Oryctolagus cuniculus: one gene and its partners. The protein of the gene in region 3 interacts with the protein of the main gene of each other region in a pairwise test. Links are inferred from orthologs where the notes say so. Each region holds a gene or a part of one and is shown on either strand. Other genes may lie near its edges. The genes, in order: TXN2, FOXR1, PPCDC and NTAQ1.

Region 1 (7,677 bases), on a different chromosome or scaffold from region 3:
TTCCTCCAACTGCAGAGGTCTCCAGGGCTGAGAGACCGCGACCCACTCCCGAGCCACCCCTGCCCTAGGCACCTGGCCCCTGCTGGGGTGAGCGGGCCACACCCACGCAACCTCAGGGCCCTGGTGCTTCTGTGTGCTCTCCTGCGCCCTGGGGTGCTTCACTCATCACCCCCGGGCCTCTCCTCAGCCAGGCCTGCCCCGGCCCCGCCCTTATAAGGAAGACCACCCCCTGCCGCTCCCCCAAGCCCAGGACCTCCACCCCTTCTCCTGGTTTACCCCCTCCTGCACCTCTTACTCAGGGTGAGAATCCCTTCCCAAAATGCTTGGGACCAGAGGGGTTTTCACATTTGGGACTTTTTTTTTTAACACGTGCGCGGTCTTCACGGGCTGAGCGCCCCGACACACAGAGGAGCCTAAGATGATTCCAACATCCGCCAGAGTCCAGCTCAGAGGCGCCGTGCCCCCGCCTGCCCAGGAACCATCGGCCCCTTCCTCCTCCACGCACTCTTCCCCCAGCACTCCTCACCCCACCTGGAAGTGACCTGTCGTCTCTCCGACTACACTAAGGGCCGCTTGGAGCCAAAGAAGCAGGAATGCCCGGCACGCAGTAGGTTGGCTGGAGAGTCAGGGAGGGACTGCGCCCATGTCTAAGAGGGTGGCCCGGTGCTCTGGTCACCTGAGCCACTTCCTTCCTCAAGGCAGTGGACAGGGACATGGGGCTGAGGACCGACAGCCCCATCTGCAAAGGGCTCTGGGTCCCGAGAGCTCTGGAAAACCCCAGACATCCTTACTGGCCATCAGGTGGTCCCCAAGACACCAGCTACTCCTGGGCTGACCCCGCCCCACCAGCTCCCCCGCAGCAACCCCCACCCAGTCTGTACCTCGTACTCGAGGGCGAGGTCCGTGTGGTCATCTATGTCCACCTTGGCCATCACCACCTTCCCCTGCTGCTTGGCCACCATCTTCTCTAACCGTGGCCCCAGGATCTTGCAGGGGCCGCACCACCTCGGAAGGTAAGCAGCACGCGGTCACCAGAGTGCAGGGCCCTCCACCCCTCCCGCCTCCCCCGAACCGCCCGACCCCATCTTCCCCAGGGACCTCTGCCCTTCCCTATCCTCTGTGCTAGTGTTTGAACATTAACCTGGCGTGTTGACACACCGAACAGCAATGCCAGAGGCTCTGCAGACCCCGGGACACGGCTGCATCCTAGGACGCCCGCGGTGATTCGCCCAGAGTGGTTCAAGCCGACGGCCCGACTTCGCGACGGCGCACAGGGCACACATATATGTAGGAGCCACACTCTGAACCCTGACCCTTCCTGGGCTAGAGACACGTGACTGGGCGCCGTGGTGCTGGGCACTGGCAGCGCGCGCGGCTCCGGTCAGCCCCTCGGCCACAAGGAAGATGCCCGACACGCCCCGTGCTGCCGAGCCAGGCCGGACCCAGGCACCCTCGATGTGTGTCCGACTCGACATTCTCAACGCACAGTGGCCTTGCTGGCAGCTAAGGCCACCGGAAGTCAGGGGGGATCTGGGTCTCAATGCACACGCTGTTGGAGACACGTTAAAAAGTCTGTGTTCACAGAGAGGCTCCTCATCCAGCAGCTGGGCCTGCTTCCTCAACTGCAAACGGCAGCCCGTGCCCCCTAAAGCCCTACGAGAAGGCAGGCTGTGCCCCCTAAAGCCCTTATGAGAAGGCAGGCCGTGCCCCTCCGGCTGTTAGGAGAAATCGGCCATCTTAAACGGCCTCTGGGGCCTGCAGCTGCTTCCAGCGCCCTGTGGACTGCGGGCTGAAGGCAGGGGCAGCGATGGCCGGGCGTCCACAGGGTTCCAGGCCCACTGCTGCACCTCCTCTGCTCTTCCTGCAGACTCCTCAAATCTGCTGACACCACAAAGAGCCCCCCAAAACCGAGGCCCACAGGCATTAGGGAAAGTCCCAATGGGGGAAGCGGGTTAGGACGCCGAGGGGGACGTGTGCGCCCCGCACAACGCCGGGGTTCGGGCCCCATCTCCAGTCCGGACACCAGCTTCCTGCTCGCGCGCGCGCACCCTGGGAGGCAGCAGGTGGCGGCTCAAGTCCGTGGGAGGGCTGCATGGAGCTCCTGGCTCCTGGCCATGGTCTCGCCCAGCCCCCGCTGTGGCCGGCATTTGGGAGTGAACAAGAGGGCGGAAGATTGAGCTCTGTGTCCTTCCTCCTCAAACTAAAAACAAAACAGGGGAAAAAAAAAAAAAAAACAGAAAAGCCTTTTCCATTCAGAGATTCAGCCGATGACCTCGGAGCCCCTAGAGCCCACAGCAAGGCCTCAGCTCCTCCCCAAGCAAGGAGGGAGCCCCAGGACACGGAGTGGGCCGCCCCAGGACAGGGAGGGGGCCGCCCCAGGACAGGGAGTGGGCCGCCCCAGGACACGGGGTGGGCCGCCCCAGGACACGGAGTGGGCCGCCCCAGGACACGGAGTGGGCCGCCCCAGGACAGGGAGTGGGCCGCCCCAGGACAGGGAGTGGGCCGCCCCAGGACAGGGAGTGGGCTGCCCCAGGACAGGGAGGGGGCTGCCCCAGGACACGGGGTGGGCCGCCCCAGGACAGGGAGTGGGCCGCCCCAGGACACGGGGTGGGCCGCCCCAGGACAGGGAGTGGGCCGCCCCAGGACAGGGAGTGGGCCGCCCCAGGACAGGGAGTGGGCCGCCCCAGGACAGGGAGTGGGCCGCCCCAGGACACGGAGTGGGCTGCTCCAGGACAGGGAGTGGGCCGCCCCAGGACAGGGAGTGGGCCGCCCCAGGACAGGGAGGGGGCTGCTCCAGGACAGGGAGTGGGCCGCCCCAGGACACGGAGTGGGCTGCTCCAGGACAGGGAGTGGGCCGCCCCAGGACAGGGAGTGGGCCGCCCCAGGACAGGGAGTGGGCTGCTCCAGGACAGGGAGTGGGCCGCCCCAGGACAGGGAGTGGGCCGCCCCAGGACAGGGAGTGGGCTGCTCCAGGACAGGGAGTGGGCCGCCCCAGGACAGGGAGTGGGCCGCCCCAGGACAGGGAGTGGGCTGCCCCAGGACACGGGGTGGGCCGCCCCAGGACAGGGAGTGGGCCGCCCCAGGACAGGGAGTGGGCCGCCCCAGGACAGGGAGTGGGCCGCCCCAGGACACGGGGTGGGCTGCTCCAGGACAGGGAGTGGGCCGCCCCAGGACACGGAGTGGGCCGCCCCAGGACAGGGAGGGGGCTGCCCCAGGACAGGGAGTGGGCCGCCCCAGGACAGGGAGTGGGCTGCTCCAGGACAGGGGGTGGGCCGCCCCAGGACAGGGAGTGGGCTGCCCCAGGACAGGGAGTGGGCTGCTCCAGGACAGGGAGTGGGCCGCCCCAGGACAGGGAGTGGGCTGCCCCAGGACAGGGGGTGGGCTGCTCCAGGCCACGGCGAGTCAGAGGGAGCTGTATAGGCAGCTTCAGAAGCTGTCAGCGACTCTGCCCGGTCTCCCACCTCCTGACTCAGCCCACAGCACACCGGCTCCCCGGGAGGCCTCGTCCTCAGGGGTCTGGCATCTAGGCAGGACCCAAGAGACTGGAAATGGAGGCCAGGTTAGAAGAAATCGCAAAGCCGCTGGCCTTTAAGTATCCAAACCAACTCGTACAGTGCTGGAGAAAAGCTTGCCCTCCCCTACATGCGTGGGCACCACTGTGGTGGCGTGGAAAATCTCTATTTTTTTTTTTAACGATTTATTTATTTATTTTGAGAGGCAGAGTGACAGACAGAGAGGTCTTCCACCTGCTGGTTCACTCCCCAAATGGCTGGGCCGATCTGAAGCCAGGAGCCAGGAGTTTCCTGAGGGTCTCCCATGTGGGTGCAGGGGCCCAAGCACTCTGGCCATCCTCTGCCTTCCCAGGCCACAGCAGGGAGCTGGATCGGAAGTGGAGCAGCCGGGACTCGAACCGGCGCCCATAGGGGATGCCAGTGCCTTAGACAGAGGCTTAACCTGCTCCGCCACAGCGCCGACCCCGGTGCTCTCTCCAAGGGGGACTCTGGGCTTTCCACCTGGTGCGGAGGGAACACAAATGCTCCCCCAGCACTGACTGCGGCCACGGTCAGCCCTGCAGACCCCCCTCGGGGAGGCGGGGCGTCCACGCTCACCACTCTCTGTGTGTCAAACGCCCATCCCGACCCTGGGCCCCGGCGGGCGCTCGGGGAATGCCCGAGTGAGCCCAGTCCTGTCTCAAGCTGACTGCCGCCCCTACTCACTGTGCGTGGAAATCCACAACCACTGGCGTCTCGCTGTTGACGACTCGGTCCTGAAAGTCGGATCCATCCTGGATGTTAAAGGTCGTGGCCAGCACTCCGGTGGCGTGCAGCGTCCGGGCCGGGCTGGGTGTCCCTGTGTGGCCACCGGGGCCGCACGGCGGGGTCCGCGCCGCGCTGAAGGCGAGCGGTGCCCACCGACTCTGGGCGGGCTTCCTGGAGGCGGCGGCAGCCAGGAACCTCCTCAGGAGAAGTCGCTGAGCCATCTGTAAGGGAAGCTGGGGCACACAGTAACAGACCCATGGGGAGGCCGACCGCCATGAGATCACAGCGGAGACTTCTGGGGCAGAGGGGCCGCGGCACGAAGGAGGGCCCAGGCGACCCGGGCTGACCGCCGCCAAAGGGCTTGGGCGGGATTCCCAGGACGGAGGGAGGACCCAGTGTCTGCAGAGCCCCGCGACGGGCCAAGTGCCTGTCACACATCCCTGGTCCTCGCAGGTCAGCTGCGGCCACGCCCGGGACCCCGGCCGCCCAAGGGCAGTCCACGCGGGGCCCCAAGGCCGCCTCTGCGCCTCGCTCCTCTACAAAGCGTTTCGGAGGGAGATGAAGAACGCACACAGGGACAGGGATGCGCGTAGGCTCAGAAACGGGGAACCTCAGCCATTCCAGGAGGAACCAAGAGACACAAGGGTCGGAGTGTGGAGGGAACCAAAATACAAGGCACACGTGTCCGGGGGGAACTGGGAGAAACGGGACGCCGCCTGGGACCCCAGCTCTCCGCAAGGCCAGGTCCCCCCGCGGCCCGGGCCTGCGCGGGAGCGCGCCCGCAGAGAGCCGCAGACGCGACCCCACCTCGGGCCATCCCAGCCGCTTACCTCCCTACAGCGCGAGAGGAGGGATGCGCAGCCCAGCCCTCCCCGCCCGTCAAGGGCACTCAGACGTCACTTCCTCAGGGGCGGGCCTGCCTATCGTCACTTCCTGGAACGGGCAACCTGGAGGGCGTCGCTGGCTGTTTGGATTTTCCGCCAATGGGAATAGCGGAAGAAGGCACACCCCAGGAGGCGGAGCTTCCGCGACACACCGGAAGGGGAGGATGAACCGCGGGTGCGATGGGACCGGAAGGGGCGGTGCGCCCTAGCGGAGGGACCGGAAGAGGGAGCGGAAGGGGCGGGGTTACCGAGACGGGGGGCGTGGTTCCGGGTTCTTGCTGCGGTAATGGCCGCTGCTCTTCGTCTGCCAGTGGCTCCTCCCAGTGACTCCTGCAGGTGCTGCAGGGTTCTTTCCCTCGGCTGACATCCTCAAAGGCTTGGTACCAAGCTACTTCCCTGGCGGTCTGGGGGCCGCTCTGTGTCCCTGGCCTGTGACGCACAGCGGGTCACCCTGCCCCCGGGGGCGTCGCTGGGGACCGGAGCCCTGGCGCGTGCCTGCCTCAGGCCCCAGGTGACCAGGGCGAGCTGGGCCCGAGGCCCGAGGCCTTCCCTTCTCGCCGTGGCCGCTGTCTTGTCTCGGGCCGGTGGCACAGCCTTCTCCTCTCCCCTGCACACGGCGCCTGGCAGTGCGGCCACGCGGGGCCTCGTAGAATCCTGTGGACGCAGCGATGGCCTGTTTGCTTTGCGTCACACCTGTCAGGAAAGAGCGGGAGTGTCGAGCCAAAGCCAGAGCGGCTTATTCAGAAGAGCCAGCAGATGGAAGATCTCTCTGTCTCCCTCTCTTTCTGAGGCTGCCTTTCAAATGGATGAATCTCTCTTTTTAAAAGATTTTAGTCATTTATTTGAGAGGTAGAGACAGAGAGAGGTAGAGACAGAGAGAGAGGTCTTCTCTCTGCTGGCTCACTCCCCAAATGGCCGCAATGGTCAGAGCTGTGCCGATCTGAAGCCAGGAGCCAGGAGCTTCCTCCCGGTCTCCTACGCAGGTGCCGGGGTCCAAGGACTTGGGCCATCTTCTACTGCTATCCCAGGCCATAGCAGAGAGCTGGATGGGAAGTGGAGCAGCCGGGACCTGACCCGGTGCCCCCATGGGATGCCCGCACTGCAGGCAGCGGCTTTACCCGCTACGCCACAGCGCAGCCCCTACAGACTGATTTCTATTGCCCTGCCTAGCAAGGCTGTCTTGACCTCCATTTCAACAGCCTGGGGGTGTGAGTGAGTTCCCGAGTTGACAGAAATGTCTCTCCCAGCCCCGCCCTGGCTTCTCCCTCTGCTGTCTGCCAGAGAAAGTGCTCCCGCAGCCAGGCCAGGAGTGAGCCTGGTGAGCCCTCTCGGCGGCCGTGAGCACGTTCGTGCGTCGATTTAGTTGCATTTTATTAGGCAGGCAGAGAATCAGACACAGGGAAGCCTCCATCTGCTGACTCACTCCCCCAACCCCCAGACTGCCAGGGCTGGGCCAGGCCAAAGTCAGGAGCCCAGAACCCAGTCCAGGGTGGCAGGGACGCCAGGACTTGAGCCATCATCTAAAGCCTCCGTGCGCTCATTAGCAGGGAGCTGGAACAGGAGCGGAGGGGCTGGGACTGCAAACAGGCATCCCAGGGGCACCCTCCCTGCTGCGCCAGGACTCTCCTCCGAGCCTCTGCCAGTCATGCGCTTGGGCCGCCTTGCTCTTGTCTGTTTCTTTATTCTGCGAGCCCTCTCCGGTCCGTCTCTGTCTGCGTTGCCCCCTCTCCATCAGGCCGCGGGGCCTGATGCCTCATGGTAGGTGCTCATGAACAGAGAGCAGTGACCCAGATAGAATCTTCTGGCTGCAAATCCCGTTTTCCCCGTCACGTGGCATGGCCCTATTGTGCCCTCTGTGTTTCTTGCAGCGCAGCTTGGCCACGTCGTGCTAGTATTTGTCCCCCGTCCAACGGGCAGGTTTCCCAGTTCTCTGCAGAGAGCTCTCCTAGCGGGATGGGGTGGGGGTGGGGGATCCTTGGAACAGGCTGCCAGCCGCCATGTCGACCTTCCTCTTGACAGGGTGACTTGGCCACGGCTGGCAGGGCTGGACGGAACGGGGCCCCTCCGCGCTGCCTGACCCCCACACTGGAGCCCGGGGTGGGACTGCCAGGCCCCTGGTGCCTCCCTGACGGGGCTGCTGCTGCCGGCTCGTTTTCAGACCCACTTTTCTGTGTCTCTGGAACTTCCTGTGCCACAGCCACCCACCCACCCTCTGGAGCACCTTCTTTTTTTTTTTTTTTTTTTTTTTTTTTTTTTTTTTTTTTGACAGGCAGAGTGGACAGTGAGAGAGAGAGACAGAGAGAGAAAGGTCTTCCTTTTGCTGTTGGTTCACCCTCCAATGGCCGCCACTGCAGCCGGCGCACCGTGCTGATCCGATGGCAGGAGCCAGGATCCAGGTACTTTTTCCTGGTCTCCCATGGGGTGCAGGGCCCAAGCACTTGGGCCATCCTCCACTGCACTCCCTGGCCACAGCAGAGAGCTGGCCTGGAAGAGGGGCAACCGGGACAGAATCCGGCGCCCTGACCGGGACTAGA
Region 2 (7,829 bases), on a different chromosome or scaffold from region 3:
ACAGGCGAAGGATTAACCTAGTGCACCACTGCGCCGGCCCCTCAAATAAATCTTTAAAAAAAAATGCACCCAATGATTCTGAAGGATCATAGACCAAAAAAATTACATAAAAGACATTTTTTAAAAGATTTATTTTGTTTATTTGAAAGACAGAGTTACAGAGAGAGGTAGAGACAGAAAGGTCTTCCATCAACTGGTTCATTCCCAAAATGGCTGCCAACAGCCAGAACTGAGTTGATCCTAAGCCAGGAGCCAGGAGCTTCCTCTGGGTCTCCCACGTGGGTGCAGGGGCCCAAGGACCTGGGTCATCTTGTTGTACTTGAGTGAGTGCAGAGGAGCACCACACACTGATAAGATATGGTGGTCCTTTATTGCCAGAGGGGGAGAACAGGCTCATGCCCTAAAGAATTCTCAAGCCCGGAGCCCAAAGGAACAGGGTTTATAAAGGTAAAAACCACAAAAACAGGAGGGGGGGATACATGGTTGCTAGGATGGGGAGGTGGGGAATACAAGGTTACTGGGGTCAATCTAACCTAAAGCCTATGTGAAACTAATACCAATTGTAATCTTAACAATATCAGTTACAATCTTAACAATTTCAATTAGGTTCTTGACATTAATCCAGGTATTGGCCTAAATCATATTGAAGTAACACCTTGACAGCAGGGACTCCATTTTGGAGCACCTGAGACTCCATCTTGACTCCATCTTGAGAAAGCACCCCCCAATGTGAGACTCTGGTCTGAAACTATGACCTAAAACAGACAGTAGCAGTCCATGACATCACACTAGGCAGAGCAGAGAGACCCCCTCGCATGCTCGCTTAAGATTAAAAACAGATAGGCTACCCCTGGGTTAATGAGAAGACTGTAATTTGTCTATGTCCTACATACGATTTAGGCCAATACCTGGATTAATGTCAAGAACCTAATTGAAATTATTAAGATTGCAACTGGTACTGTTAAGATTATAATTGGTATTAGTTTCACATAGGTTTTAGGTTAGCTTGACCCCGGTAACCATGTGTTCCCCCTCCCCTCCTTGTGGTTTTTGCCTTTATAAACCCTGTTGCTTTAAGCTTCAGGGTCAAGAGTTCTTTAGGGCGTGAGCATGCTCTCCATCAACAGCAATGAAGAACCATCAATTTTATCAATGTGTGGTGCCCTTCTGTTTTCACTTGCTCAGGTATAACAACATGTAGGGCAGGGACGAATTACAGTCTTATCAGTAACCCAGGTGCAGCCTGTTTTTTGTTTTTAAGATTTATTTATTTATTTGAAAGGCAGAGTGAGAGAGAGAGAGAGAGAGAGAGAAAGAGAAAAAGACAGAAAGTCTTCCATCCGCTGGCTCATTCCCCAAATGGCCACAACAGCCAGAGATGGGCCAATCCAAGGCCTGGAGCCAGGAGCCAGAGCCTCTTCTGGGTCTCCCAAGAGAGGGCAGCAGGCCTGGGGCATCCTCCACTCCTTTCCCAGCCCACAGCAGAGAGCTGGATGTGAAGTGGAGCATCTAGGACATGAACTGGCACCCATATGGGATGCTGGCACTGGCCTCACCTGCTAGGCCACAGTGGTGGCCCCACCTATCTGTCTTCAATCTTGAGCGAGCATGCGAGGGGGTTTCTATGCTTTGCCTAGTGTGATGCAGTGGACTGCTACTGCTTGAGTATTTTAGGGCATAGTTTCAGACCAGAGTCTCATGGAGGGGGTCGGGGGGGGTGCTCCAAAATAGAGTCCCTGATGTCAAGGTGTTACTTCAATCTTCTACTGCTTTCCCAGGCACATCAGCAGGGAGCTGATCAGAAGTGGAGCAGCTGGGACATGAACTGGCACCCATATGGGATTCTGATGCTGCAGGCTGGGGATTTAACCTACTGCGCCACAGCACTGGCCCCACATAAAAGGCACTGTTGGGACAATTGGCAAAATTTGAATAAGATCTGTATACTGATTATAGAACTGCATCAAAGCTAAATTTTCTGATTTAGATACTTTTCTTATTTTTTATTATGTAAGCCAATATCCTTATTTTTGGGAAATACTGAAGTATTTATGGGTAAAAGTGCATGATATCTCCAAATTACTCTCAAAAAGCTAAGAAAAAAATACCTGTGTCATATGTATAAAAATTAAAAATGACAAATGTCAATTGGTAAATCTGGGAAATGGGTAAACAGGAATTTTCTTATAGCTTTTTTGGCATTTTTCTGTAAACTTAAAATTAAGGGGGCCACTGCTGTGGTGTAGCAGGTAAAGCCGTTGCCTGCAGTTTCACATCCCATTTGGGCACCATTTTGAGTTCTGGCTGCTCCACTTGCAATCCAGCTCTCTGCTGTGGTCTAGGAAAGCAGTAGATCCAAGTTCTTGGGCCCCTGCAAGCAGCTCTTGGCTTCTGGCTTCAGATCAGCCCAGCTCTGGCCGTTTCAGCCATTTAGGGAGTGAACCAGCAGATGGAAGACTTCCTCTCTCTGCCTCTCTGTAACTCTTTTAAGTAAATAAATAAATCTTTTTAAAATGCGATAAAATAATTAAGAACAAAATTAAGTCACCATTGAGTCTAATCCTATCTCCACCATCTGCTACGGAGGTGATTTTAGATAAGCCATAAAAACCCATCAGAAGTTCTAGAAGGCGGCTATAAATAGTGGGGGAGGGGAGGGCCACGACGCCTTTTAAACAAAATAACTGCACAAAAGCACAGATGGGGAGACTCTGTGGGACCCCTCCCTGAGGTTCCCAAGCCCCCAAACTCGACGGCCGCGGGCGAGGGCAGGCTCCCTCCGAGATTAGAGGCGTCAAACGAGGACTGGCACACCTGCGCTGCCTCCCTCCTAATTCTATCGGAGCGAGGGTACTTGAAGCCCTCGGAGGCCCACCCGCAGTCTCTCCCGGCTCACCCCCTGCGCGGCTGGGCGCGCCGCGCTCTCCCTAAAGGTGGACCTCAAACTCCAGCAGCTCGACGTCTGGGCCAGCCTCCATGGCCAGGTCCCGGGACTGCTCGACTGGGACATGGGGAACGAGGCCTTTCTGGCCTTCACCACATCGCATCTGCCCGTGGCCGAGCAGAACCGTGAGTGCCGGGCCTGGGGGAGGGGCGTGCGGCGGGCCGGGCGCGGGTCGCGGCGGGGCCAGGCGGCTCCCCGCACCCCGCGCCCGCGCCGGGGCCTGGTTGGCGGGGGCGCCGCGGTGTGTGTGCCCCTGCCCCGCGCGCGCGCCTTTCGACTGGAAGCCCCCGGAGGACAGCCGGTCTCGCCGACCTTGGCGCCTTCCTCTCCGCGCCCGGAACGTTCTAGGGCTCCGCCGAGCCGCCTCTCCTTGCTCGCTCATTGGCTCCTCGGCGGCGCCATTTGGAGCGCTGTAGGCTCGCCTTGTTTTTCTCTCTTAAAAAAAAAAAAAAAAAGGAAGGAACGGTGTTGTTTGTTTGCATCTCCACCTCTTGATGCAGACTTGTGCAGGGCTTGCTTAGGGGACGGTTGGCCGTCGCCTTGTTGTTTTCTCCTCCCCTTTGACCCTCCACAGTTGAGAGCCGAGGTAATTATTCCAAAATTCGCGGCACCTGTTTGCCAGCGCGGCCGCTAAAGCCTTGGGTTGACTCTGCCCATTTCCCCTCCGTGTTGGGATCCCAATCTTTTGATTGTCTTCCCAGCTCCCACGGTTTTCCGGAGCTCTTTGTGTTGCTAGATGCAGGGTTGGTTGGTTATTTCCTGCAGTTGGGTAGCCGCCTATGGTCCACGTGTGTTCCCTTCTGCGCTGTCACTGTCCTGACACCTAAACCCTCCCCAGCTGTTTGCCATGGTGGGTAATGCCACAGGACGTTCCTGTGTGTTCCCTCATTCAGGGCCTCGCCTTGGCCTGCCACTGTCCTGGACGCTGGGTGCACCGGGAATGGAGGGGCGAGCCGGCACAGGCTGCTGTCTCCTGGGGCAGGCAGACAGTGCCTGGAGGAGCGGGTTATGTCCTATGTCTAACCTGTAATGGGAAAGGAAACATGGGATGGCACGGTTGGAGGTGCTCCCAGCTGTGGTGTTGCAGGGTCGTGTAGACCTCCACTGGGAACAGGATACTTGAGCAAGGAGTTGAAGGGGATGAAAGCCGTCCTGCTCCATGCCAGCGTCCTCGGGTGTTTGGGGAGCTGCAGAGAGGCCAGTGAGGCTGCATCCAGGCCATTGCCGAGCTCACGGGCTGTGGGTGCAGAGGCGTTTGTCTGCTGTGTCAGGACTTCAGTATTGACTTCACGTGAGGCACGGCTGGGAGGTTTGAAGCAGACAAATGATGTGACCTGGGGCCCCTCTCGTGAGCCTGCTGCCCACTATGTCACTGCGGTCTTGTCTTTCTGGTGTGAGCAAGGAGCCCCATGGTTTCACTTTGCATCGGGCCCTACAAATGACAACCCTGGTTTGACAAGATGTTCAGTCTGGAAGGATCCCCGTGGCTGCCAGCTGGAGGGTGTGCTGTCTGTGGGGGGAGAGAATGGCAGACCAGGTGGGGAGGGGCGAAGGCGGCCACAGTTGCTGGTGGATTGGATGCCTGGTGGAAGGAAGAGATCCTAGAGTGGCTGTCTGAAGCTCTTGGTGCATCAGGTGAAAGTCTGGCACTGCTAGAAGTGTTGAGTAGGCGGTTGGACCTAAGGGCCTGGTGTTCTGGGAAGAGGTGAGGACTGCAAGATGTAAATTTCCAAGCTTTGGAATATGGGTGGGGTTTGAGGAGTGAGGCCGGGAGGGCCAAGGATGAACCCAGGGGCATTGCATTATAAAAAAGATTAGGGAGAAGAGATAAGTAGGAAAAAATAAAGACCAGTGAGAACCAAAGCTATGGGACTGGTGTCCGGGAAACCATTCTAGGGAGGGTTCAAGGAGGGGAGAGACTAGTGGCTGATTTAGCATTCTGGAAGTCCCTGATGACCTTGGGGGGGGGGGGGGTGTAGAATGGAAAGCTGATCAAAGAGCTTTAGGGATGGAAAGAGAGAGGCTGGAACTCTCTAAATAAATAAATAAATAAAGGAATGGGAGGAGGGGCAGTGAAGATGAAAAGTATAAATTCTTCTTTCAAGGAATTCTGTCTCAAAATAGTGGTGGCCAGGTTCAGAAAGTGGGGGCCAACAAGTTCTTTTTAGTCACACGGGAGAATTAACAGCACATTTGGGTGCTGGTGAGAATAGCAACATTAAGGACACAGGAAAGAGGGAGGGTTCCTGGGACGTTGTCCCTGAGGGCACAGGGAATCTGCTGGCCAGAAAGACAGAGGCTCTCTCCTCGGATCCTGCTGAGGTCTCCGGTCCGCCGGCTTTCCTCCCTGTTCTGTGGCTTTCAAACAGAACCCTGATTAGGTTCAGCCCTGCCAAACAAGTGCTCTTAAGTCTTTGGTCCATGGGTCGGTGATCGTGGGAGGTCCTAGTCGGGGTGGGGAGTGAGTTAGCTGGAGAGACAGAAGGTGGCACATTCTTACGTGGTGCACAGACGAGGTTATGGAGAGGCTGCGGTTACTGGTTTAGCTCATGATGGAGAGGGACTACTTTAGTAGTGTGGAAGTGTTCAGGAAACAGCCAGGACTTAGGGCAGGAGTGATGGAGAGGGTGACAGTAAGCCCTTTCAGATGAGGGGGAGTGGCCGAGAGTTTAGTGGAGGACAGTAGCCGAGGAGACTTAAGTTCCCTGTAACAGGAGCAGTCTGGGGGGTGGCTGCACTGAGTGCTCCATGTGGGGCTGAGTGGCTGACAGCCGGAAGTGCAGGGTGATCAGGGGTTCTGTTTTCTTCATGATTCTTGTTAATCTGATTGATGTGAAGTGTTGTATTTTATTTTTTAATTGCTAATAAGGTTGAACATCTTTTAGCCACTCGGTACCCCTCTTTAGGAATGCTGATTTTTTTTTCTCACTTGTAAATTTGTTGATCTTTTATTTAAGGATTTGTGGGAACTCTGCATGTTAGAGAACTTTGGGTTGAATTTTTTCCCTAGTTTATTGTCACTTGTCTTCCCCCTTGGCTTATGGTGACTTTTAGTGTGCAGAAATTCTAATTTTTTTAAAGATTAATTTCGGGGCTGGCATTGTGGCAGGGCAGTTAGGCTGCCACTTGCAATGCCAGCATCCCATTTCAGGGTGCCTGGGATCTCTCTCTCTGTCACTCTGCCTTTCAAATAAATTAATTATAAAAAGAATTAAAAATGATCTTAAAAATTTATTTTTAGAGAGATTTTTCCATCTGTTCGTTCATTCCCCAAATGTCTGCAACAATCTGGGGCTGAGCTGGGCTGAAGTCAGGAGCCAGAAACTCCATCCAGGTCTCCTTCGTGGGTGGCAGGGACCCAAGTACTTGGGTCATCTGTTACTATACCAGGCACGTTAGGAGGGAGCTGGATGGGAAGCAGGGGAGCCGGGACTTGACCTAGCACTCTGATACGGGATGCCAGTGTCCCAAGTGGCAGCCTCCACACCAGCTGTCCATTCATTTTTATGTATTATTAAATGTGCATAAAAATGTATAGGTTGTTGGGGTCGGTGCTGTGGCGCAGTAGGTTAGTCCTCCGCCTGTGGCGCCCCATCCCATATGGACACCGGTTCTATTCCCAGCTGTTCCTCTTGCAACCTAGCTCTCTGCTGTGGCCTGGGAAAGCAGGTCTTGGGCAAGTCCTTGGGCCCCTGCACCCACGTGGAAGGCTAGGAAGAGGCACCTGGCTCCTGGCTTCGGATGGGCATGGCTGCTGCCATCTGGGGAGTGAACCAATGGAAGGAAGACCTTTCTCTCTGTCTCTCCCTCTCACTGTCTGTAACTCTGCCTCTCAAATAAATAAATAAAATCTTTTTAAAAATGTATAGGTAGCCGGCGCCGTGGCTCAATAGGCTAATCCTCCACCTTGCGGCGCCGGCACACCGGGTTCTAGTCCCGGTCGGGGCGCCGGATTCTGTCCCGGTTGCCCCTCTTCCAGGCCAGCTCTCTGCTATGGCCAGGGAGTGCAGTGGAGGATGGCCCAGGTGCTTGGGCCCTGCACCCCATGGGAGACCAGGAAAAAGCACCTGGATCCTGGCTCCTGCCATCGGATCAGCGCGGTGCGCCGGCTGCAGCGGCGGCCATTGGAGGGTGAACCAACGGCAAGGGAAGACCTTTCTCTCTCTGTCTCTCTCTCTCACTGTCCACTCTGCCTATCAAAAATAAAAAAAATAAAAAAATTAAAAAATGTATAGGTTGATTTGAAAGGTAACTGACATCTTTATTGTCTTTGTTTATTCAAATCTGTTATGTCATTAAATACTAATTAGATTTTCCCCCATTCTTTCATGGGTTAACTCCTATCTACTTATATATTTTTTAAAGATTTGTTTATTTGTAAGGTAGAGTTACAGAGAGAGGAGAGAAAAGGAGGAGAGACAGAGATCTTCCATCCTCTGGTTCACTCCCCAAATGGCTGCAACAGCCAGAGCTGGGCCGATCTGAAGCCAGGAGCCAGGAGCTTCATCTGGGTCTCCCACATGGGTTCAGGGGCCCGAGGACTTGGGCCATTTTCCACTGCTTTCCCAGGAGCATCAACAGGAAGCTGGATCGGAAGTGGAGCAGCCTAGACTTAACTGGCACAAATATGGGATGCTGGCACTGCAGGTGATGGCTTAACCCACTCTGCCACAGCACCAGCCCCTGGTTCTTACTGTAAATGCTACGGTTTTAATGCTGTTATGGAAGAACAGTATCAATTACTATGTTGTTGTATTCAGCAAACGCACTTTGTTGGTTCTAGTGATTTGTATATATTTGAAAGACAGAGAGGGCTCCCCTCTATTGCTTCACTCCCTAAATGCCCACAATGGCCAGGGGACAGAAGCCAAAGTCCAGAGTTGGG
Region 3 (7,247 bases):
TGGGTCCAGGAGGAAACAGCATGAGGGGTTCAGGCCTCGAGGCTCCAGGCAGGCGCTGGGGCGGGGCAGGGGGCTGCTGTACTCCACGCATTTTCTCTCCCTCGGTCCTCCCCACACCTCCACGAGCGTAGGACGGCGAGGGAGAAGAGCCAGTCGGGGCCAGCAGGGCGCACTGACTCGAGCAGGGGACGGGACGAAGGAGCATCGGCCAGCCAGCGTCAGCCCAGACCCTTCCCAAGAAGGTCACTGTTTATTCCCAGCACCCCAGGTTCACAGCACGGTCAGTGGACACCACGTCCTGCCGGTGGGCACTTAGGCAAGTGACCCACCCCGCCAGGACCTCCAGGTCTCCTGTCACTGAGTCCTGCGCCCAGGAGCACAGGGACAACACAGCCACCATCACGGCACCACTCTGGGAACAGGCAGAAGGGGCTGCAGGCAGCAGGCGTCCTCTGGGAGAAGCCAGGCCCAAAGCCTCTGATGCAGTGTAGCCAGGAGCAGGCCAGTGCCTGGGGCAGCTCCAGGGCAGGCCCAGGTCAGAGCCCTGCTCAGCAAACATGGGCCTCTTCACCAAGGGTGGACGCCTCCCTCCTTCGCAGCTCGGCCAGGAGAAGAGGCCACACGGCACGGAAACCCCAGTTCAACCGTGCTGGACGCCATCGTGCTGGGACAGGGTTTCTCTCACTTTGTCCACAATGGTCTCCACCTCCGCCATGGCCCCCAGACCTGGGAGCAAAGTTCTGCTATGGCCAAGGACTTGCCAGATGGGGCCCACAGCCCCTCCCAGGGTTCCGCCAGGTACCCTACCCAGAGCCCAAGGCCAGGCCAGTGCGTTTGCCTAAGCCACCCCTGGAATCCTTCCTGGACAGCACAGCACAGGCCCTGGGATGGGGCTGCGTGCCAGGGACTCCACCAGGCCCTGCCCGTGACGTTCATCCCGACCACTCTGGCGACTCCCAAGGTCCAGTGAGGGGGGCGATTTTGCCACCATCACAAGCCCTTCTGCGGCCAGGCTGTGAGGCTGGTGAGACGCCCACCTTGGTCTCCACACACCAGCTTCTTTGCCACGCAGGGGATCTCGATGTAGCCGAAGGCCTTGAGCTGGTCCACCTGCTGGGCGGTGATTGGGTGCTCCCACATGGCCGTGTTCATTGCCGGGCAGAAGAGCAGGGGCTTGCTGCGGTCCCAGGCCCGGATGACACAGGTCTGTGAAGGAGGCGGGGCGGGGGTCCTGCAGGTCTGCCGCCACCCACCCCGTCCTCTAGGCCCTGCACCAGCAGTGCAGCCCCAGGCTGCAGGGGCCCGGTGCAGCCTATCGGCAGGCAGCTAGCTAGCTGGCTGGCGGGCCCCCTGGCCCCCCACAGGAGGTGCTCGGGCAATACTGCCAGCGGCCCGGCCCCCTCCAGGCAGGCCCCCTGTCCTCTGCAGGAAGGCTCCCTGTGCCCCAGCCTGAGCCTGAGCCCTGGGCTCACACCTCCTCTGGAGCAGACTGCCTGCATCAGCTCTGCTTCTAGGCCACCTGGCGCTGCCAAGAACCTTCTCAGACACTCACACTTCCCTCCGAACCCTCACCGCGACCCTCACAGAGGAGCTGCCCCACCGCAGCCGGGCAAGCTGCAGCTCCCTGACAGGCGAGCGCTGAAGGCGACCCTGTGCTCCTCTGCCCTCCTCCACCACCCTGCAAAACCCCACTGCCCCCCGAAGCCAGACCCCAGCAGCTCACAGAGACCTGGCTGTGCCTCCTCTCACGGGCTGGGGGGCGCAGCCCCTCCCTCAGAGTCCTTCCTGTGTAGCTGCAAGGCCTGCGGGCGAGAGGCTGTCAGGGCTCACAGCAAGGGCTGGCGCGAGGCCCCGGCCCTCAAGCAGTTCCTGTGGTTGCCAGACACAGGCTCCCTGGGCCGGGGGCTGCCCCAGGAGGGAGCGGGCTCCCCCAGGCACCAACGGCTGCAGGCGCCTCCTCCCTGGACATGAAACCCCCCCTGCAGTGCGGCCCATCTGGGAATGCTACCAACAGGCCAGGACCACAGCTGCCCTAGGTGCCCTTGCCCTCCCCTGGGGACAGGAAGGAAGTTCTGTCCCACACAGCCCCAGACCTACTGCCTGCGTCATCTCAGACACAGCGTCGGTTTCCCACCCAGTGCTGGCAACACGGCAGCTGGGCTGTGAGTGGCCGGTTTCGGTTGCACTTCCTCCTGGCCCCAGCCACCTGCTGCTGCCCTAGCGCTGTGGGGTGGGGGGCTGAGTGGAGGCTCCTAGGTGCCCTCTTCAAAGCCCAGCACAGCAAGCTCTCCCTACCTCACCTTGGACAGCAGCACTTCCTGGGCAGCCCACGGCTCCTCTGAGCCACCTGCCTGCCACCCTGCCTGTCACCCACTGGCAGCAGGAGGGAGGAGAGGAAGTCACTGGCTCACACGGCCACTCCTATCTGTGTCCTGCGCCTCTGGTTCTGCACCCAGGAATCCAACCAGACACCAAAGGGCTGGTGTTCAGCCAACAGCCCGCTCCCAGCTGCATGTTCCATGCTGGGAAGTCACCTCCTCTCTCTAGATCTGCCTGCTTGTGTGGCACAGGACAGGCCGGGGCCTGCATGGGCCAGAAGGCAGACACGGAGGCAAGGGGCACAGGCCCACTCCTAGCAGGCTCCCCTGGCATCCCAGGGTCTGGACTGGAAGGGAGAAGAGGTGGGGAGGGAGACAGCAGGCGGGGGGCCCTGCGGGGGGCATGCGGTGAGTGCCACTGAGCGAGGACACCAGTTCAAGCTTCGTGAGCCTCGTGCCTGCCAGCTTGGGGGGGGGTGTCCTGAGTTCAGGGGTGGCAGCAGCTTTGAAGGAAAAAGGAAGGGAGAGGTCCTTGAGGTCAGCGAGCTTTGTCATACGGGAGGCAGCTGGACAGCCAGTGGGAGGCCTGGGACTTGTGGGTCAGGCTGGTCACACACGCTGACCCCTCTGTGATGAGCAGGACTGGGCGCCTCACCTGCAGGCCCCAGGAGCAGCCCCGCCAGGAAGCGCTCCTGGTGCCTCCGAGGCCAGCTGTCCTGCAGCACACGGCGTGGCCTCCAGGGGCCAGCTCTCCTGCAGCACACGGCGTGGCCTCCAGGGGCCAGCTCTCCTGCAGCACACGGCGTGGCCTCCAGGGGCCAGCTCTCCTGCAGCACACGGCGTGGGCGCCCTGCTCGCCCCAAGCCCTGCCTCAGACGAGGTTGACACTGCAGAGCCCACTGGCAAGCGGGCAAGGACACAAACCGTGCATCTGACCCCAAGCCCCGCCTCCGCGTCACGACTCCCGTTCTTTCCCAAATCGAGCTCAGAACTGCGGGCTGTCTGTGAAAGTGGAGTCACTACTCGCCTCCCACGCCCGCACAACACCAGGGTGCCCGACAGGGCCTGGCAGGACCGTACTGCTGGCTGGGGCGCGGGTGAGCGTGCCTTCCGATCGTGAGTGCCGTGTCTCACGGCAGGGGAGAGCTCGCACTCAGATCTTCCAGGACGACCACAGAAGCAAGGGCAGCTCCCAGGACGCCAGCTCCCGGGAGGCTGCAGGTCCCAGACAGCACCCGCTCTGCACGGCTGGATGCCTGCCAGCTCCCCCCACCTGCCGTCTGCTGCTCCCGCTAAGCTCCCCCTAACAGACGGGAACACCGTGTCTCGGCCTCACTGTGCACGAGAGACCCCTGCGGAAGTCCACCCCCTCTCAGCTCGGCCTCATGCGTGTCCAGAGCTGACGGGGAGGCTGTGGGCCAGGCAGGGAGCCCAGCGGCAGCGCAGGGCAGGGGCAGCCCAGGCAGGGCTGAGTGCTAAGGTGCAGCCCCTCCAGGGACCCCGGGACCACTTGCTGCACAGACAGTGAGGCAGGCCCCGGCCCACGGAAGAGGCTCCTTGCACCAGAAGTCTGCAGCTTAGCAGGCCCGGGCAGAGGGGAGGGCACGGGAGGTCACTCACAAGCAAGTTGTCACAGATGCCGCTGGCCACCTTCCCCAGGGTGTTGGCGTCCAGCGGGGCCACCAGCATGAGGTCGGCCCACCTCCGCAGGTCAATGTGCAGCACAGGGTCACAGCGCTGCTTCCACATCTGGCCGAGGGAAGGGGGCGGGGTCACCGAGATGGCCACTCTCTCAGCGTGTGTGTCGGGGAGAGGGGCCAGGCACAGTAGGTCAGGGGCCCGCATCCCTCCCACAGCTAAGCGGGGCCTGAGAGAAGCCAGGCCCTAAGAGACAAATGCCCCTTGTCTCCCAGCCATTCCCTCTATGGCTTGGTTTTCCAGAGCGCTGACATCTGGCAGGGATCTCCCGCCGGGCTGGAGGCGGATGCTTGGGCTGTCCAAGCCAGCAGAAGGGCCCCAGGGCGGGGTGGGGGAGGCAGGCCAGCCAGAAATGTTCTGGGCTGAGAATGTTTAAAATCGCCTGGCAGGGCACCCCTGGGAGGCCCTGCTCGGCGTCTGGTGAATGGGCCCGGCGGCCGTGGGAAGTGAGGCGCTGACGCCAGGAGCCACGTGGACCAGGGTGGTGGGAACAGAGCGGCTCTGTGGCTTCACCAGGCCAGATAAGTACAAGGACACTCGACCCCGGGCACCTGGCCAGGCTGAGCTCCGCCCGCAGGCCAGCAGCCGGACAGATGTTTTCCTCGCCGTCTCTGCCCAGATGGCCCTGACCGCTGACGGGAGCCCAGCCCAGTTGCAGGGAGGGCTGTCCTGCCCCTGCTGGTGGGAACGCACCCGCACTGACCTCCCACTCGTCAGCGTCGCTGTAGAGGGCGACGGCCACGTCCTGGGGGCTGTAGAAGTGTTTGGCTCTCTCAGTTGTGACCACTGCAACTTCCAGCTGTCACCAAGCACCAGCGGAGGAAGGAGGGGAGAAACCGTCAGACCCGCAGGCCTGGGGGCCGTCGGGGCAGAGGGCTGCAACAGCAGCCAGCCCGCATCTGTCACCCGAGGTCAGGCCCTCCCAGGTGCACCCGTGCCCACCATCCAGTGCTCAGGGAGCAGCAGGCCCCGCTGCCCGGGCACAGTGGCTGGCAGGCGGAGCAGGCTGGTGACAGGGAGAAAGCTCAAGCCACTGCGGTGGCCTCACGGGGTCCGAGTCCAGCACATGGCAGCCCTGCCCTCTACAGGCAAGGCACTGGGAGCTGGTCTGGCCCCGCAGTCACACCCCAGCCCCAGTGAGAAAGCAGCAGAGGCCTCTGGGTGCTTCTAGGAACAAGGAATCCTGGGAAGGGGGCCTGCTCTCAGCGGCCTCCACACGCCCATCGTTTACTCATAAATCGCCCACACAGCACGGGGCAGCGTCTGCGTGTGTGAGACGTGCGGTCAGACTACCAGGCTGGGAGGGGAAGGGAGAAGGAAAGTGTGTCCCCAGCGTGTCCCCAGCGTGTCGGGAGGGGACGCCCGCCCAGGAGCAGAGCAGTGGGCGTACAGTCACGCTGGGGACCTGTTTTGAGCCAACACAGATTGGAAGGCTTCATGTAGAAAACTGAACTTCCTGGCTCCCATGAAAGGCTGACAGCCTGAGGGCTGCTGGCCCCATTTCCCTACTCGCTGACCTGGGGGCACTGAGCAAGGGCGGCCTCGCGGCTGGGGCGTGCCATGCCTGTGCCAACTCAGCTCCAGGCCTGAGCGGTCAGCGAGCTCTGGACAGCACCTGGGAGCAGGAAGCAGAAGTCTGGGAGGAAGCAGTGCAGGAGGTGACCCATCCATTCTCCACCTCACTCCCACGAGCGTCTTCCCTCCACAGGCCTTGTACAAACCTCAGGGACGTCGGGGAGGGGCCCTTTAAACCAAGCCCCTCAGAGTGCTGGCATGGCCGCGCACAGCCCCAACAAGCCTCGTCCAGCCCTGAGCGAAACGCCTCTGCAGCACCCAGCCCCAGAGAGGCCGCGGCACAGGGCACTGCCGTGGGTCTCATCTTCCCCGTGGGGAAAGACACAAGGTCAAGTGTGGGGCACAATCACCTAGAGAGGAGCATCTAACTTCCAAACTAGCAGAAGAAAATTCTATCCGCCCAACAAGGTGGGAGGAGGGAAGCAGCAGACACCACAGGGGATCCGTGCACAGCCTTCGATAGGACGCAGGAGCAAGGCTTTGTCTCTACACTAAGTCATTTATTTGAAAGGCAGAGAGAAGAGAGGCAGAAACAGAGATCCTCCACCCACTGGTTCACTCCCCAAATGCCCAAAACAGCTGGGGCTGGGCCCCACCAAATCTGGGTGTCTGGAACTCCATCCAGATCCCACGTGGATGGCAGGGGCCCAACCACCTGAGCCACCACGCTGCCTCCCAGGGTGCGCACTAGCAGGAGGCTGGGTCAGGAGTGGAGTCAGCACTGAGCCCAGACACTGCTGTGTGGGACGTGGGCATCCTAACGGGTGCCTAAAGCGCTGTGCCAAATGCCCGCCCCCCAACTGACCTTTTAATTCCATTTTCCTGCAAACTTTTTGAGAGGCCCTTGTGAAAGTAATTTCTAAGAAAGATACAAACACTGCAGAACAAAGAGAAGAGGACAGAAAAGGACAGCGTGAGGCAAACTCATTTGCGGGAGAAGGAAGGGGACAGATGGGATCAGACGGCACCAGACAGGCGAGAAAGGGAAACGCTGCGAGCTGGGAGCAGCTGAGAAACCAGGGCGCACGACGGGCTCAGGAGCGGCAGCCACTGCGCACCTGCGGCACAGAGCTGGGCTCCCCTCCCGCAGGAGGAACAGGTAAGCCCCCAGATCTCCCCCCGAGCCCAGGCAGCCCACCCATCACCCTGCCCTGCCCCCGCAGGGGTCCACATGCCAAATCTGGCAAATCGTGGTTAAAAAGGAGCCTGGAATAAAAGAGATAACTTATGGAATGACCAGAAGGCTGAGTCCTCGTCTCACACTTGGCACTAAGAACCCTGGTGTACGAGGCAGGACACCACTACAGTGTTTTCCGGAAAAACCAAATGACCTGGGAGTGGAGGGCGGCACCTTCAGGTTTTAAATTCCAAGGTCCCCAATAAAACTTCGTGTCCCCAGCTGCGTACCTGCCTGCCAGACAGCAAAGATGGAGTCTTTGACATTCAAACAAGAACCAAGCAAGGGTATTAGACACTGGAGGAAGGCTGAATGGCAGGGAAAGAGACAAAATACATAAATAAAAACCAGAAACCCACAGATAATGCAGGGACAAGAAGACGAACATGAGACCGTACCAAGATATGACATAATGTTATTTTATTTATTTATTTTCATTTTATTTTTACGGCAGAGAGACAGACACAGGGATCTTCCAT
Region 4 (7,908 bases), on a different chromosome or scaffold from region 3:
CTCAGCACTGCCAGGAAAATTTACTGTTTGTTTTTGCCGATACCTGATGACAGGCCCCTGATCTCCCTTTCTTACTTACAAGGGCTTAGAACTGTAAATATATACCTCTTGCAACTCACAAGTCTCTCTCAAGGACCCTGAGAGGCATTCCTTTGAAATGAAAGGAAGGACAGGGCCTCTGTTTCCTAGTCTCTGTGGGAGGATAAACTCCTGCCGCAGGCAGATAACTGCCTGCCAGCAGAGGCAGCTGGCCTAACCTTATCTCCACTGACCAAGTCTCTGGAATTTTTTTTTTTTACTTCTCTGACTCCTCTGAGCTCCCTGCAATCCCTACTCCCGCATTCTTCCTCTGAGGTGTCCAACTCATGCACAAATTAGAATGGAACTCAGTTCTTACAACATTTCCCTGTCGTCAGCAGTAACTGAATAAAATCTGTCTTTACTTTTTAAAAAAGCTATTTATATATTTGAAGGATTGAAAGGCAGAGCAACAGAGAGAGAGAGAGACAGAGAGAGAGAGCGGTATCTTTCACCCACTGATTTATTCCCCCAGTGCCCCAGCATCCAGGGCTGGGCCAGGCTGAAGCCAGGAAGCAGGAACTGCATCTGGGTGTCCACATGGGTGGCAGGGACTCAAGTACTTTGGCCATTATGTGCTGCATTCCAGGAGCAGGAGCAGGAAGCTGGATCAGAATCCGGGGCAGGCACTCTGATAAGTGATGTGGGTGTCCCAGGTGGTGGCTAAAATTGCTGCACCACAACACCTGGCTCAGTCCAGCTATCCTTGACAGTACCTATGCTTTACCAGGCACTATGCTAAGTGCTTTGTACAGATCAGTTTATGTTATATGTATTACAATATCGATTAAGTAGGCACTCTACTCTTATCCTCATTTTACAAGGAAACTGATAAACAGAAAGGTTGGTGACTCATCCAAAGTTATACAGGATAAGTGGTCAAGATAGGATTCAAGTCTGTCTTTCTGGCCCTAGCTCTGTTATACTATTCTACTTCCCAAAGCAAAATCCAGGCCCTGAGCAGCTCACGGCAGAGGTAGAGACAGTCAGCTTAAATTACTGATGTTTGATTACTGATGTATGATACTGCTGTTCAAGACATGTGAATAGAAGTTGTGATAAAATGGTGGTGGTGGGGGAAGCTGTGAAAAGATGGAAGGAAACAATTTCTGGAAAAAGCTGCCAATAAGGAAGGCGGAGGAACACATCAGCCCAAGTAGACAGTTACCTTGCACACAGCCTTGGAGTATCTAAGGAAGAGCAAGGCACTCAGTGATGGACATGTGGGGTATGTTGGAAGTCATGAGGGGAGATTATACCAAAAATCATGGTTGCTAGCATTTAGCGTTATGTGCCAGCAACTCTTCTAAGTGCTTCATACACATACATTCAATTAACCAGCATTACCAACCCTAAACCCTATGAGGTAGGTAGTACTATTAATGACTTCATTTTGCAGGTGAGGAAACTGAGGTCCAGCAGGCTGAAGTAACTTCGCTCCAGGTCACACAACTAGGAAACCACTGAACCTACCTAATCTGGCTTTGAAGGCGTATAGCAGTCGGAGTCCAATCATGAGACAAGAAACTACACAGTAGGTAATGCAAGGAAAGTTGAATATAAAGAATTAATGGTGGAAGTATGTGGCTCAGTGGTTACTGCATCACTTCAATGCCCACATCCTAAATGGGAGTACCTGGCTTCAAGTCCCAGGTCAGCTTCCAATTCTAGCTTCCTACTGATGAGCACTGTGGGGGGCAGTAAGTGATGGCTCAAGTACTTGGATCCCTGCTACCCACATGAAATACCTGTATTGGATTCCAGGCTCCTGGTTTCAGTATGGTCCAGTCCTGGCTGTTGCTGGCATTTGGGGAATGTACCAGTTGATGGATGATCTGTTTGTCTTTCAAATAAACTGAAAATAAATTTAAAAAATTAAAAGAAGCATTAATTGTGGTAAATGTGTAACTATTGTAAGGCTACTACAAGATATAAAATCCTATAATCAGGCATAATGAAATTTTCTATGGCTCCAAACCAAGGAAGGTGGGTGTGCTACTAGAAGTTTATCACTCCGGCGATGTTGGAGGCAGTCTGGGGTTGCTGGGAAAGAACAGGCCACCCTGGAAAGGATAGGCAGGCGGGTCACCAGAACCAGCAGTCTGGGGACACACAGAAGGCCTTCGGTGTGCTGGGGGTGGGGAGGAGGGGACCCTGCTGTGTGACTGCTGGCCACTGGGGACAAAGGCTCTGGCTTGAGGGGCTGAAGGAGGAGTATGGCCGGCTGAAAAGGTCACAGAGCACGCACCTTCTGGGCCTGAGGCAGGGCAGACTGCACTGGACGTGACCACACCCGTGGCTGGAATGGAGCCCAGAAACTCCTGGGAGCCTCTTCCTCCCGCAATGGCCCTCCAGCTCTCTCTAAAGGGGAATTCTGTCGGTTGGTTAGTGTTCAGACCCCAGAGGTAACAAATCCAAATCGGACACAAAAGCGCAAAAGTGTTTAAGGGCTTTGGGACACAGATCAGAGAATCTGCCGCGGACGGCCCTGGCCAACCTAACCATTTCAGTTGGATAATGGTAGGATTCTGATCAGCTGTCCCAGTATAGGTCTGTTGCAAACACAGAGTGTAAAGTCTAAGTCCTTGAAAGCACACATCCCAGAACCATTCCTTCACCAGAGTTCTCACCGTTTGGCGGCTTTCCTTCCAGACTGCCAGCAAATAAACATGGTTAACACAGAAAGATGATTTTGCAACTTATTTTCTGACTGTATCCAGGGACCAATATATCCTTCCCAGCCAATACATACAGCCCTCCTAATTAAAAAAAAAATGCTACATTTGGGGTGTGATTCCTTCCTAAAACCGTCCTCGCGACGGTCCTACTTGGAATTTACCCTCCACCGCTACCTCTCCCCCGGGCTCCAAACTACAGCGCCCATTTTGACACACAAAGCCTTTCTAATGGCAGTCCATCTGGTTCCTCCACAGCCCAGCGGGCAACGCCAGCCCAGCCACTCAGGGCCCCGGGGTTCACCAACTCCAGACTCTCCCCTAACTCCTCCCTCAGGCCGCTCGCCGCGGACCCTCTCGCCCAGGATTCTCGTCGTCCCCGCCTCACCCCGCACGCCGACCACGCCCCAGAGCCCGCCCCCCGGAAGCCTGGGCGCCAGCTCTTCCCGCCCCCACTCCCCTCCCCACCGTCTCCGCCTACCCGGAACCACGCAGCCGTCTGCGACCCGGGTCCGCCCACTTCTCCCTGGCTCCACCCTCTCGAAAATCCAGCGTCGTCCTCCCCCGAGCTCCGCCCACTCAGTCCGGACCTTCGCGCGCTGGCAACTTGAGCCGCTTGCCCCGCCCAGGCTCCGCCCACCCCGCCCAGGCTCCGCCACCCGGAAACTGCCCTGGCCGCCTCAGGCTCCACCTACTCCGCTCCGGGAGCGGGCGCTGTGGGCTGCGCGCCGGCTGCTTGCAGCGATTGGCCCACTCGGGCCGCCTCCTGCCCGGGCCGCGGCCCAAGCTAGCCCGCCATGGAGGCGGGGGACTGCCCTGCCGCCGCCGCCGCCTGCTACCAGCCGGCCGGCCCTCCGCGGGACGCCTGTGTCTACAGCAGCTGCTACTGGTGAGGGGGCGCGGACGCAACCCCCGGAACCCCGGAGCGGCGCGGCCCCGCCTCGTTCCGGCCCCTCTCCGGCGGGGTTCGCTGGTTTGCGGGAGGAGGGAGCGTGAATGGCAGGCTTGGTCTCTGGAGTAGAGCTGCGGAGTGCGAAAGGCCAGGCTCGCTGCCTCTGCCCGGCGCCTCTCACCGGACAGGCGTGGCGGAGCTCAGTGCCTGGCGCAGACGCGGGGGGCTGCAGCTCAGAGCTCTGGAAGTTACTCTGCTGACGCCTGCGCGCTGCGGGGCCTAACTTTGGAAAATGGTCGCGGTACAGAGAGTTCGAGGGATTTCTTCTTGAGGTCCTCCAGCTGACAGCCGCTGGGAGTCCGGCTCAGGCTCCTCCGGCGCCGGAACCCACGGTCTTGTTACCGCTCAGCTGTCATTACAGTTAACGTCGGTGACGTGTGCACGGCACCCTGCGTGGTTTTGGGAACAAGCACAGGAACCCCCAGGAGGAGGGCGCTCTAGTTTATCCCCAGACGGAAGAAGCGCAGAGCGGGGCAGGTCATTTGCCTAAAGGGGAATGCGGGTGTCCTGGCGGAGGCTGGCTGTGGGCTCCGGGCACTGCGCCCCGGCCGCCTCTGCAGCTGCAGCACCACCCGCCCGCCCTGTTCATCTCTCACCTTTCTCCCCCTACCCCCCAACCCCGTCTTCCAGTTGCTGACCCTCAGGACCCTCTAAACTACTCCCTAGCCCCTAGCTGGTCGTCTGACTGTTGCTACTGACGGCTTGCCTTTTGTTCCACTCCGGCTGCGTGTCAGGCCCGGTGGCAAGAGCTTCCGTCCATCCCTAGGAAATAGGTTCTACGATTACCATTAGCCCCCCTTTGCTGGTGAGACTGAGCCATCGGGACACTGTTTGCAAGCGGTGGTGGTGCAGCTGGAGCCGCCTGTGTGGTGCTGGAGCCCGCGCGTCTTACCCGCTGCACTCTGTTTCTTCCCTGCCGCTCCTAGATCTCTGTGTTCTCATCCCTACCGTGCATGCATTGCTCCATTCATTCATTCAGTAAACGTTTACTGGGCCTTGGAGTGCGTGATGCATGAATCCAGGCACAGAGGACATAGCAGTGAACAGACTTAAATCCTCCGGTGAGATCTCGTGATTCTTACGTTTCGATGGAGGGAGAACAGTTGAAAACAAGTAAACCATGTTTGCATGGTATTAGAAAAATAAGACAAGGTAGGGGGTGATGATTTATGCTGTCTTATATTAGGATATTTAGGGACATTGCCCATAAAGTGGTTTGAACAGAGGTCTGAAGAAACAGAGGGTAGGAGCTTTGTGGGTACAGGACAAAGTTGATCTCAGACAGAACAGCAGGCGGAAATGTACCCAGAAGGAAGTGTGCTGTGAGCGTTCTGGGACTGTCAAGAAGGCTGGTGCAGATCAGTGTCTCTTTTTAAAAATTTTTTTGGTTAACTTGTAACACATGTTCATTGGTATGGGGTACCATGTAGTATTTTTTTAAGATTTAATTTTTAAATTTTTATTGATTTTTTAAAAGATTTTATTTATTTCTTTGAGAGGTAGAGTTACAGAGAGAAGGAGGGAGAGACAGAGCAAATGGTCTTCCGTCCACTGGTTCACTCCCCAAATGGCTGCAATAGCTGGAGCTGGGCCGATCCAAAGCCAGGAGCCAGGAGCTTCTTTCAGGGCTCCCACGTGAGTGCAGTGGCCCAAGCAGCTGGGCCATCTTCTGCTTTCCCAGGCCATAGTGTAGTCTCATAGTGTCAGGCAGTAGCTTTACCCACTAAGCCACAGTGCTAGCTCCTACACTTCTTTTTTTTTTTTTTTTTAAACTTATTTATTACTTATTAGAAAGGTAGAGTTACAGAGAGGAAGGTCTTCATCTGCTGGTTCACTCTCCAAATGGATGCAGAGGCCAGGGCTGGGCCATGAGACTGGAGCTTCCCCTGGGTCTCCCATATAAGTGCAGGGGCCCAAGCACTTGGGCCGTCTTCCGCTGCTTTCTCAGGCACATCAGCTGGGAGCTGGATCAGAAGAGGAGTAGCTGGGACTAGAACCGGAGTCCATATGGGATGCTGGTGCCACAGGTGGAGGCTTAGCCCACTGCACCCAGCGCCAGCCCATTAGATCAATGTGTCTTTAATAGATCATTTCCTTGAGTTCCTTTAGCCAGAGGCCTGGCCCTTCTCGGCTGTCATGGAGGCTATTCTAGTTGCTTCCTACCAGGCCTTTCAGGCAGACCTCCCCTACCTCAAGTCTTTAACCTTGCTTGGCTCCAGAACCTGCAGATGGGAGGGTGCCACCTCATAAGGCTTGAGTGAGTAAGCAGCATGGTTGGAGAGTACGAGGGCTGGTCTGTTGATTACATTTCAAGGAAGGCAGGCATGGACAATAAAGTGCATCTCCTGAACATAGCAAGCTCTCCAGGGTCTGGTCACTGTTCTTCCAGCCTCATGTTGAACCTGCCATCTGAGCTGTGCTCCAGGGTCCCTCCTTAATATTGGCTCTGTTGAGATTTGGGGCATGATAATTCTTGGCTGTGGGGGCTCTCCTGGGTATTGCAGGATGTGTAGCAGCATCCCTGGCCTTCACGTGTTAGATGCTCTTGGTACCTTCTCCCCAGCTGCCACAACCAAGAATGTCTCGATATTACTGTGTGTCCCTCTGGTTAGAAACCAATACTCTGCCCTGTCTGCACACCTAAGTACTTTTCACTTTTGCTCCTGTAGGTTCTTTTTTTTTAATCAGGATACTGGTGTTAGAGGCAGTGACTTTACCCACTAAGCCACAATGCCAGCCCCTACACTTTTTTTTTTTTTTTTTTTTTTTTTAAGATTTATTTTTTATTTGAAAGGCAGAGTTACAGAGAGAGGAGGAGAAACAGAGAGAGGTCTTCCACTAGTTCACTCTCCAAATGGCCGCAAAGGCCAGGACTGGGCTGTGCTGAAGCCAGGAGCTTCCCCTGTATCTCCCTTATGGGTGTAGGGGCCCAAGCACTTGGGACATCCTCCGCTGCTTTCCCAGGCACATCAGCAGGGACCTGGATTGGAAGTGAAGCAGCTGGGACTTGAACCAGCGCCTATAAGGGATGCTGGCACCGCAGGCAGAGGCCTAACCTGCTACACCACAATGCTAACCCCATCCTACAGGTTCTTCTAACTTGAAATAGAAGCCTCCTCTACACTTCTGGTATAGTTTTTTGAAATTCATGTGTAGTCACGGCCTTAAAACAGTTCATAGAAAATGCTTATGAAAAACATTGCATGGATTTAAAAATTTTTTTGCACCAAAAATAATTTTACACTTTAGTTCCATTTTTCCACAGACTTTTTTGAAGTACTTGTCATGGCAGCCAGTATTTGTATGGGATGATGTAGCTTGCAGAGCATTTCTGATTCTGTTTTAATTGTTCTGTATTTCGGGGCTGTCGTTGTGGTGCAGAAGGTTAAGCTGCCTCCTGCGATACTGGCATCTCATATGGGTACGAGTTTGGGTCTGTTGCTCTATTTCCAATCCAGCTCCCTGCTAATGCACCCAGGAAAGCAGCAGATGATGGCCCAAGTCCTTGGGCCCCTACATCCATGTGGAAGACTTGGAAGAAGTTTTGGGCTCCTGGCTTCAGCCTGGTCCAGCCCCGGCCTATTAGGGAGTGAACCAGCAAAGGTAAAATCTCTCTCCCTCCCCCTCCCCCTCCCTTCCCTTTCCCCTCCCTTTCCCCCTCCCCCTCCCTTTCCTCCTCTCCCTACCTCCCCCCTCCCCTTCTCTCTCTGTAACTCTGCCTTTCAAATAAAAAAAAATGATCTGTATTTTTTTTGACAGGCAGAGTTAGACAGTGAGAGAGAGAGAGAGACAGAGAGAAAGGTCTTCCTTCTGTTGGTTCACCCACCAAATGGCCACTATGGCCAGCACTGTGCGGGTCCAAAGCCAGGAGCCAGGTGCTTCCTCCTGGTCTCCCATGCAGGTGCAGGGCCCAAGCACTTGGGCCATCCTCCACTGCACTCCCAGGCCACAGCAGAGAGCTGGACTGGAAGAGGAGCAACCGGGACAGAATCCGGTGCCCCAACCGGGACTAGAACCTGGGGTACTGGCGCTGCAGGCGGAGGATTAGCCTAGTGAGCCATGGCGCCGGCCAATTGTTCTGTATTTTGCAAGCATTTGTGGAAAAGCTTCTGGATGCCAGGGTTCCCGCCTCCTCCCCACTTGCTTTTCTGTCCTCAGCCTGTAACCACTATAGTCTCATTCATTGTGCTATTCTGTCAGCTC

Evidence for each region.
Region 1: the proteins of PPCDC (region 3) and TXN2 interact in binary tests that used the Homo sapiens proteins (3 or more experiments, as listed by UniProt). The two-hybrid records come from large-scale screens. The link is inferred for Oryctolagus cuniculus from reciprocal best matches to the Homo sapiens genes PPCDC and TXN2.
Region 2: the proteins of PPCDC (region 3) and FOXR1 interact in binary tests that used the Homo sapiens proteins (3 or more experiments, as listed by UniProt). The two-hybrid records come from large-scale screens. The link is inferred for Oryctolagus cuniculus from reciprocal best matches to the Homo sapiens genes PPCDC and FOXR1.
Region 4: the proteins of PPCDC (region 3) and NTAQ1 interact in binary tests that used the Homo sapiens proteins (3 or more experiments, as listed by UniProt). The two-hybrid records come from large-scale screens. The link is inferred for Oryctolagus cuniculus from reciprocal best matches to the Homo sapiens genes PPCDC and NTAQ1.

What each region holds. Positions count from the first base shown.
Region 1 is NC_091442.1:113,720,964-113,728,640, forward strand, and holds the start of TXN2 (thioredoxin, mitochondrial), read right to left. Parts: upstream 5,241-7,677; 5' UTR 5,090-5,240; intron 4,493-5,089; 5' UTR 4,481-4,492; coding exon 4,218-4,480; intron 1,006-4,217; coding exon 882-1,005; intron 1-881.
Region 2 is NC_091432.1:111,302,655-111,310,483, reverse strand, and holds the start of FOXR1 (forkhead box protein R1), read left to right. Parts: upstream 1-2,661; 5' UTR 2,662-3,008; coding exon 3,009-3,069; intron 3,070-7,829. UniProt on the Homo sapiens protein: Transcription factor which acts as both an activator and a repressor.
Region 3 is NC_091443.1:108,737,838-108,745,084, forward strand, and holds the end of PPCDC (phosphopantothenoylcysteine decarboxylase), read right to left. Parts: intron 4,816-7,247; coding exon 4,720-4,815; intron 4,068-4,719; coding exon 3,939-4,067; intron 3,534-3,938; exon of another isoform or gene 1,730-3,533; intron 1,207-1,729; coding exon 1,038-1,206; intron 727-1,037; coding exon 641-726; 3' UTR 219-640; downstream 1-218. UniProt on the Homo sapiens protein: Catalyzes the decarboxylation of the cysteine moiety of 4-phosphopantothenoylcysteine to form 4'-phosphopantotheine and this reaction forms part of the biosynthesis of coenzyme A.
Region 4 is NC_091437.1:149,128,597-149,136,504, forward strand, and holds the start of NTAQ1 (protein N-terminal glutamine amidohydrolase), read left to right. Parts: upstream 1-3,426; 5' UTR 3,427-3,550; coding exon 3,551-3,642; intron 3,643-7,908. Other genes in the region: ATAD2 (ATPase family AAA domain-containing protein 2), read right to left, coding at 1,827-1,933, 2,327-2,439, 2,709-2,749. UniProt on the Homo sapiens protein: Mediates the side-chain deamidation of N-terminal glutamine residues to glutamate, an important step in N-end rule pathway of protein degradation.